2 linked regions of the Coturnix japonica genome follow. The main gene of each other region encodes a partner of the protein of the gene in region 2 in a complex. Links are inferred from orthologs where the notes say so. Each region holds a gene or a part of one and is shown on either strand. Other genes may lie near its edges.

Region 1 (3,744 bases), on a different chromosome or scaffold from region 2:
CACTCTGTTCATTTTCTGTGGAAAAGATTCCGTATTTCATATCCCCTTGACTTCCAGGGCCCAGTCCCAAATCTGTGCTTCTCATCTCCCTCTGGAACATGGAGAGGTCCCTTCTGTATGCCCGGATTTTGCTCATCATTTGATTGCGGAATGGTAGAGGAGCATACTTCAGTTCTTCTTCCATTTCCCGGAGCTTAAAGAAAAGAACACTTATTTTAAAGCATCACATTCATTCTTATAAACAGCTGTACCCAGAACTTACACTAGATGAAGGGATTCACATATTATGTTCACATAAGAACATTAAAGTAAAACTTGGGATACTGTCCTTTCTAGGGCAATCAACATATTAAGTGGCCAGAAAGGCCACAATTCCAGGCTTAAACTTACCGTTTCATTTGCTTCACGCTGCTTCTCATCAAACTCCCGAATCAGCTTTTTCTTCTCCTCTGCACAAGAAAGAGCAACACGTGAGATAAACCCCAACAAAACTAAAGCAGAACTTGAAATCCTGATTTCCAGCAAATCGGGTTTTTGCATCCTAGCAGTTCACTAAAAACAACCACTCAAATAAGACAAGCACCCTGCAGAGCTCTGAGATGGAAGACACCATCAATACACCAGATCAGGTTGTCCAAATACTTCTCTTTTCTGGAACCACACTGGATGTTAGATCAAAACACCTAAAACCAGCTCATCTTATGGATGTGCCGTGGCCACACCAGGGCCCTTCCCTTTCAGTTCAAATCCCCATTAAGCCCCTGAGTTTGACTTGTAGTGCACTTAAGATAGATAAGTTTAAACATAAGTTTAGCGCTGCAGGAAATGCTGATTTATGGGGTTCCTACATTGACTATCCTCAGCTCCTCCCCTGCTTTTCTGCCACGTACATTTGTGCTGATTCAACTGCTTGAACAGCCAGGCTGCTAGCAAGGACACGGGCACACACAGCAAGGAAACAACTTTCTAAAGTCACCATTCTGCTCACGCAGGACACTCCACTCCTTTGGTGAATGTAGTGCCCTCTTAGAACAACTGCTGCTGTCTCGAACCCATTGAAACCCGAAGCAGTGCTGAAAAAGCAGTATTTTACCCTCTTTGGGTGCCCACAATTGGATCAGTACAGCACTGCACTTCAGCCACAGAAACATTACCCACATGTTTCTCAGCATCTGTGAGATCTCATTTAAACCAACCGAAAAACAATCAGTTGAAAAAGGCAGTTAACTGTTTACTCAGAGAATGGGATCTATAGCAGAAACTGATCAATGCCATTTAAAATGCTTTCTTATAGGTTTGGAAGGAAGAAAACACTTGCTTCCAGACCTGAGAATTTATTAGCTTGTAAGATAACATTTCCACATGGAAGATGGTCCAACAATGACACATTTTGTCCTCCCTGCAGTCTGGGAAGTTACCAATCATCTCAAAGGAGTACACAGGACACCATCTGTTGTCCCACAGACTTTTCATGACAGTGTGAAAAATGAAGACCCATGTGGGCATGGACAGCAAAGAATGCCTTACAAATGCCTTCAAAAGAGAGATAAATTCCTGACTTCACATGAACTCCCTTGTTATACTTCCTTGGGAATATCACAGATCTGGGGACCTGGCAATAGTTTACTTTTGTCCACAAAACTGACAACCCTCCTTTCTGCAAGGAAATTTCTGTTCTTTGAAATTCAAGCGTTGTGGGGCATTTTTCAATATGTGTGAGCACGGTCTCTCCCCATTCTTTCCCCAGCAACAGGGTTGAGTTTGTATTTCAAGGCAGCAAAATAACCCTCACCCTACCCTGCAACCTCCTCCCATTAATTGTATAGAAACGATGCCCAGATTCCAGGGCCCTTCTTCACAAAGGGGCATCCCTTCCTTTATGCTTTTCCTTCTTGGTGACTGTCAATAAAACAAAGGCAGCTTTGAATCACAGAACTGCAGGGTTTGGAAAGGACCCCAGGGGATCACCCTGTCCAACCCACTGTTAAAGCCAGTTCCCTGCAGGTCACCAAGGAAAGCATCCAGGAGGGTCCTGAATATCACTGGAGGAGACTCCACAGCTTCTGTGAGCAGCCTGCTCTGCCTTCTGGCCTTGAAAGCTGCGGCCCATAGTTTTAAGTGCCTCCCACTGTACTTTCTGGAAACGAATAGGATGGTGACCCTGCATTTAACCCGGTATTAGACTGAACCGGGCAGCCCGGACACCGCACCCCTCACACCCAGCCGGTGCTTCCCCGCCTCCGCGCCCACTTCCCGTTCTCCGCTACGCCACAGCCGAGCGCTGTGCGCCGGGAGCGGAGCCAAACGAGCCCCTCGGCTCGGGCAGCGCCGGGCCGGACCGCGGGGCCTCGCCGCGCTGCGGGAGAAACCTCCGCGAACCCGACGAAAGCGCCGAGCCGGATCCGCCCCGCCTCACCCGCCGCGCCGCCCCGCAGCCGCTCCGGCACGGCGCGCAGCTCCCCGTGCAGCCCGCGGAAGATCTCGTGCAGCCGCTCCAGGTGCTCGGAGGACGCGGGGCCGCGCTCCGCCATGGCGATGGGCCGTACGGGGCACTGCCCGGCGCCGCTTCCGCCATCGGCCGCGAGGACCCGCGCCTGCGCAATGAGACGCCCCGCGCTGCCTGACCGCGGCACCGGGGCAGCCCAGGCGGAGCGGGGTCCTGGCGGCGCGCTGCCCGCTGGGAGCCGTAGTCGCAGCGCCGCCTCGTGGTGCTCCGCCCCGCCCCGCCCTGCACCGCCCATTGCTCCCATTGGGGCGGGGCGGCTCCTCCGGGCGCGATCAGTGCGGGGCGGACGCGGCGCGGATGGAGCCGTCGGCGATGCTGAGCTGCTGGGGCGCGGTGCTGGGCGCCGCCGTGTCCGTGCCCCTCGTGCTGCTGGCGGCGGCGCCCTACGTCAGGTGCGGGGCTGTGGGGCGCCTCGGGGGGCTCCGTGCCGCCGGGCTAAGCGGCTCCTTTCTGGGGGTTGGAGACATACAAAGGGCTTTCGGGCAGCGCTGTTACGGCGGTGTGCGGTTGGCGGCAGCCGGCTCGAGCCGCTCCCGCGGGGGGTCCGGCTCAGCCGAGCACGGGGCGGTGGGAGCCGGTGGCCCGGGTTCGCCCCACGGCGCCGCGCCGACTCCATTGGCCGCCGCGCCGGGAGCCGCGCTGTCAGCCAATGGCAGCCGTGGCCCCACCGGAGCGGGCGGAGCGGGCGGAGCGGGGTGTCGCGGTGCCCGGTCCGATGTCGGGCTCGGAGCCGCCGTCGAGTCCCGCCGCTCTCTTGCAGGCGGTACGTGGCCGGAGGGCGCTGCGGGTCCGCGGCCAGGCTGGACGGGAAGGTGGCGGTGATCACGGGCGCCAACACCGGCATCGGCAAAGAGACCGCCAGGGAGCTCGCCCGGAGAGGCAAGTCGGCGTCACGCTGCGAGCGGGTGCGGCTGATGCGATCCGGCACCACGCGTCGTGGTCTGCAGCCTGGGGCCGTGTTTCTAAGAGCCACATTCTGAAGGTCCTTCAGACAGGGCTGTAACCCCTGAGGTGCAGTTCCCCAGTTCCCAGCTGCATTCACTGCTTGAACCCTGACCCCGTGTCTCAGCGTGTAGAAATACTCAGCGCTGTGGCCACCTCGGGAGGACCAAGGAAGTGCCTGGAGTCACAGGGCTCTACCTTGTTTGGGGATGGGAAATGGCTCAGATCCGCTCATGGTTCAAAACTGGCTTAAATGTTTTTTGGTAACTAGCAGGGCAGTGAAAGTACCCAGCAAT
Region 2 (3,744 bases):
TATTTTTCCTCACTCTAATATACAACATCAAAACACCACTTAAGCAATAATTTGACTACTTAAGGAATATTTTAGGTATAGGATCTAGAAATGTTTACATGAATCCTCAGCTTTTGGTAAGCAAAAATTATATACTGCATTCCAGAGAAGTGCTTGAAAATTTAAACCTGATTGGAATTAGGACTTTGTGCCTTTAAATATCCAGAGACAAGTCATGTGCTTTCCTTGGACATGCTCTCTCTCTCTCTATATATATATAATGTATATATATACAATACATATACACACACACACATATATAATACATTATATATATATATAATTTTAAATAAAGCTTCTACAAAACAATTTCTAATTGTGACTTCCTTTGTAAAATAATCTCTGTCAAAAATATATATATCCTTCAAACAGGGTGGAAACACAATAAAAAATGACGATGTAAGTATTAGGAAGATTCTACTCCTATTCCCCCCCAAGAAACAGCAGCCAGGCACAATACCGACTATTGAAGATTTGTATCACAGGGACTAGTGAGATTCCTGCCAGCTGACACTGCTGCCCATCCCATCTGAGTGGGTTTCACCACCCAGCTTCTAGAATGAGACAAAGTAACACAGTGCTTTTACAGTGTAGCTCCAGCTCCCATTCTAAGGCAGCCCAAAACAAAACATTGTTGCTGACCGTAGCAGTAAGTAGTAAAATTAAACTTCAAGAAATCAAAGCTTCTGGAATAAGAGACAGACTGCATACCATAAGGTAACTATGTCTCTGCTACAGCACCAGAGGCATTATTGCAACAGACTCATATAGACAAGAATTAAACCTGTCACTGTTCTCTCCAGTGGGGATGAGGGAGGTAAGTTTTGTCTGGATATATCCTTCCCCTCCCGCCTTTTACTTAAGGCCAAAACATATTAAGAATAATGCCATACTTCCTACTTCTGTGCTTTCAGCTCCAGATGGGCTGGAACCCTGATCCATGCAAACAGAACAGTCACATGATTTCCTCCCTGCCTGTTCAAAAGAAATGGAAGTTAAACTATCCATATATATATGTGTATATATATATGGATATATATATATATTAAATCATATAGCTTCATGTAGAACTAAGCCTAAAATTAAAGTGGGAAGAAAGTAAGCAAAGTTCATTTTAAAACTTTATTTACTCTAATGCAGGAACACTAAGATAGAAGAAATCAAAAGATAAATTTCTATTCCACTCTGCCCAATTGCCTTGGCCTTGCCTCATTAGTTGGGCTGAAGCGCATCAAAACTGAACTCATATCAGGCAAAGACCAGATGATTTCTTAAGAAGAAATAAGATTTGTTAAGGCTGTGTAACTGGTCAGTCTCATTTCCCCAGAAAAGATTTCCCAACAAAGATGTAGCTTAAACATTACATTCGTAGTTATGCATTAGAAGTGCTCAGTGCGTAAAACTGAGCTATGGAAACTTGAAATGGGATTAGGCCTAAAGGACAACCAACGCTGTCTCAAGCACACATGGCTAACAAGGAATATATTTGTCACTATCCAGTTCGCCCTCATTGACAATTACATAAAGCAACAGAAGAATGTGTCTTCTGCACAAAGCAAGTTCTCAGGGAAATGCCTTTATAAAGAGAATCATGCCTCTGAGGAAGAAACAGGAGACAAACACTGGCAACTGGCCCACCACAATATGGCAATGACTAAATTACAGGTCTTAACTTTTACGGAGCTTCTCTTTGGTGTATATTCCTCCTTTCTATTAACAGCATTCGTGTGAAACCCTGGGCTCACAGCAAGGGGCCTGCAGGGCAATGCCTGCAGAGAAATCGCCCCACCACACCGCTCCCAGCTTCTGCTTTGCTCATTCCTCAGGGAAGGTCAGAATACATGGGGGGTACTTAATGCCGCAGCTGACGTGCCCGGTTTTAGCATTAAGCTCTGATATAGACACAGTGCCTCGCGTTTCACGCCTGACAGAGCGAAACCCTCCACTTCCCCCACAGCTTCACCGAGCACCCACTTCTCAGGCAGCAGCAGCAAGTCACTCGACAGGAAAGTCAGCGATAACGCCGGGCCCCAGGCCCAGGCTCTATTTGCACAGGCGATTTGCTGCCTCCCTGCCTGCAGCCAGCACACCTTGTTGTCCTCACACCTTCAGCACCACGAGCACCCTGATGAAGCACAGGTCAGCTACCTACGCTCAGACTTCACTTAAGCCACTACAGAACAACTGGCTCGAGTCCCCGAATCCTCCCCTCGGAGCAGAAAGCCAGGGGGATGTTATTGCGGAAGGGGCACGACCGGCCGCACCCAGCCACCCCGGGGCCGGGCAGCCTCCACCCGACCGCGGGTGGAGGAGCGGGGCACCGCTCCCCTGCTTACAGCCGCCCCGCTCAGCCCCAGGCCCAGGCGGTGGCCGCAAGCTCCCGCACAGCACCGAGGCCCCGATCCGCCGCCCTCTGACAGCCCCTGCTCGGCCACCGCCCCGTCCGCCCCTTCCTCCTCCAGCCACCCGAGCGTGGAAGCGAGAAAGAGGAGACCGTCCCGACCCGCTCCCGCTGCACTTACCCGGTTCCGCCGTACCTCCTCGCACCGGGCGCGGTGGAGGGGATGACAGGGAAGCCGGCTTCCCGAGGGAGGGCCGGGGCCTGACCGCCCGGCACCGCCCCGTCCTGTCATGGGGCGGGAGCCGCCGTGACGGCGGAGGCGTGGGGAGGAGCGGCCGTGGGGCTGGGCCGGGCCGGGCCGTGATGGGCGGAGAACGACTGCGGGCCCGGAGCCGCGGGCAGGGGGCGCTGCCGGGTGGGAGGGCTCGGGGTGTCCGGGAGTGGGATTCGGGATTCAGAGTCGTAAAGGTTGGAGAGACTGCTGAGACCAATAGCCCACCGGCTCTGTACCGCTAAACCACTTCACTCAGTACCACATCCACGTGGTCCTTGAACACCTCCAGGGATGGTGACTCAACCACCTCACTGGGCAGCCTGTTCCTATGCATCACCACTCGTTCTAAGAAGTGTTTACTTATATCAAACCTGAGCCTCCTCTGGCACAACTTAAATACATTGCCTCTTGTCCTATTGCTTGTTACTTGGGAGAACCTGGCATTTATTGCCTCCGTAGTTGTATGTTAGTGGAGAAAAAAGCATTTAAGAATAGAATATCAGGAAAAGATGCTGTGGTCAGGTGTTAGAGGAAAATGTACGTAGCGAAATTACAGAACAATGGAATACAGTGCCATTATATTAACATCCTTTATGACCTTCAGTTTTGGTCATCATCTCCAAATGGGAGTGGAAACTTATAAGTACATTGAAAGAATGGGAGATAAATATATTAAATATATGAATATAAATATACATAAATATATTTAAAGAAGTCTGGAAAAAAGTTGAATGAGGAGTGGCTGACAGTATTGAGACTGTTTAGACTGGAGAAGTGGAGGCTCAGGGGAGATGTTATCACTCCCTACAACAAAAGAAGAAAGAAGATTGTAGCAAGGTGGGAGTTGGTTGCTTCTCCCACTTAACAGAAATAGGATGAGAGGTGACAGCCTTAAGTTGCACCAGGGGAAGTTCAGGATGGATATTAGGAAACATTTCTTCTCAGAAAGTGAGGTGAGATATTAGAACAGGCTGCCCAGGGGGGTGGTTGTAGTCCCCATCCCCAGAGATGTTCAATAAACATGTAGATGTAGCATTTAGGGACGTAATTTAGTGGGCATTGTGGAGATGAGTTGAAGGTTGGACTGTGT

The links. Proteins that work in one complex are often made in the same cells at the same time.
Region 1: STX7 (region 2) and VTI1B share a complex: the UniProt entries of both Homo sapiens proteins name them as parts of the SNARE complex. The link is inferred for Coturnix japonica from reciprocal best matches to the Homo sapiens genes STX7 and VTI1B.

The regions. Positions count from the first base shown.
Region 1 is NC_029520.1:27,589,239-27,592,982, reverse strand, and holds the start of VTI1B (vesicle transport through interaction with t-SNAREs homolog 1B), read right to left. Parts: upstream 2,757-3,744; 5' UTR 2,751-2,756; coding exon 2,417-2,750; intron 450-2,416; coding exon 391-449; intron 194-390; coding exon 2-193; intron 1-1. Other genes in the region: retinol dehydrogenase 12, read left to right, coding at 2,804-2,898, 3,267-3,385. UniProt on the Homo sapiens protein: V-SNARE that mediates vesicle transport pathways through interactions with t-SNAREs on the target membrane. These interactions are proposed to mediate aspects of the specificity of vesicle trafficking and to promote fusion of the lipid bilayers.
Region 2 is NC_029518.1:51,525,002-51,528,745, reverse strand, and holds the start of STX7 (syntaxin-7), read right to left. Parts: upstream 2,694-3,744; 5' UTR 2,562-2,693; intron 1-2,561. UniProt on the Homo sapiens protein: May be involved in protein trafficking from the plasma membrane to the early endosome (EE) as well as in homotypic fusion of endocytic organelles. Mediates the endocytic trafficking from early endosomes to late endosomes and lysosomes.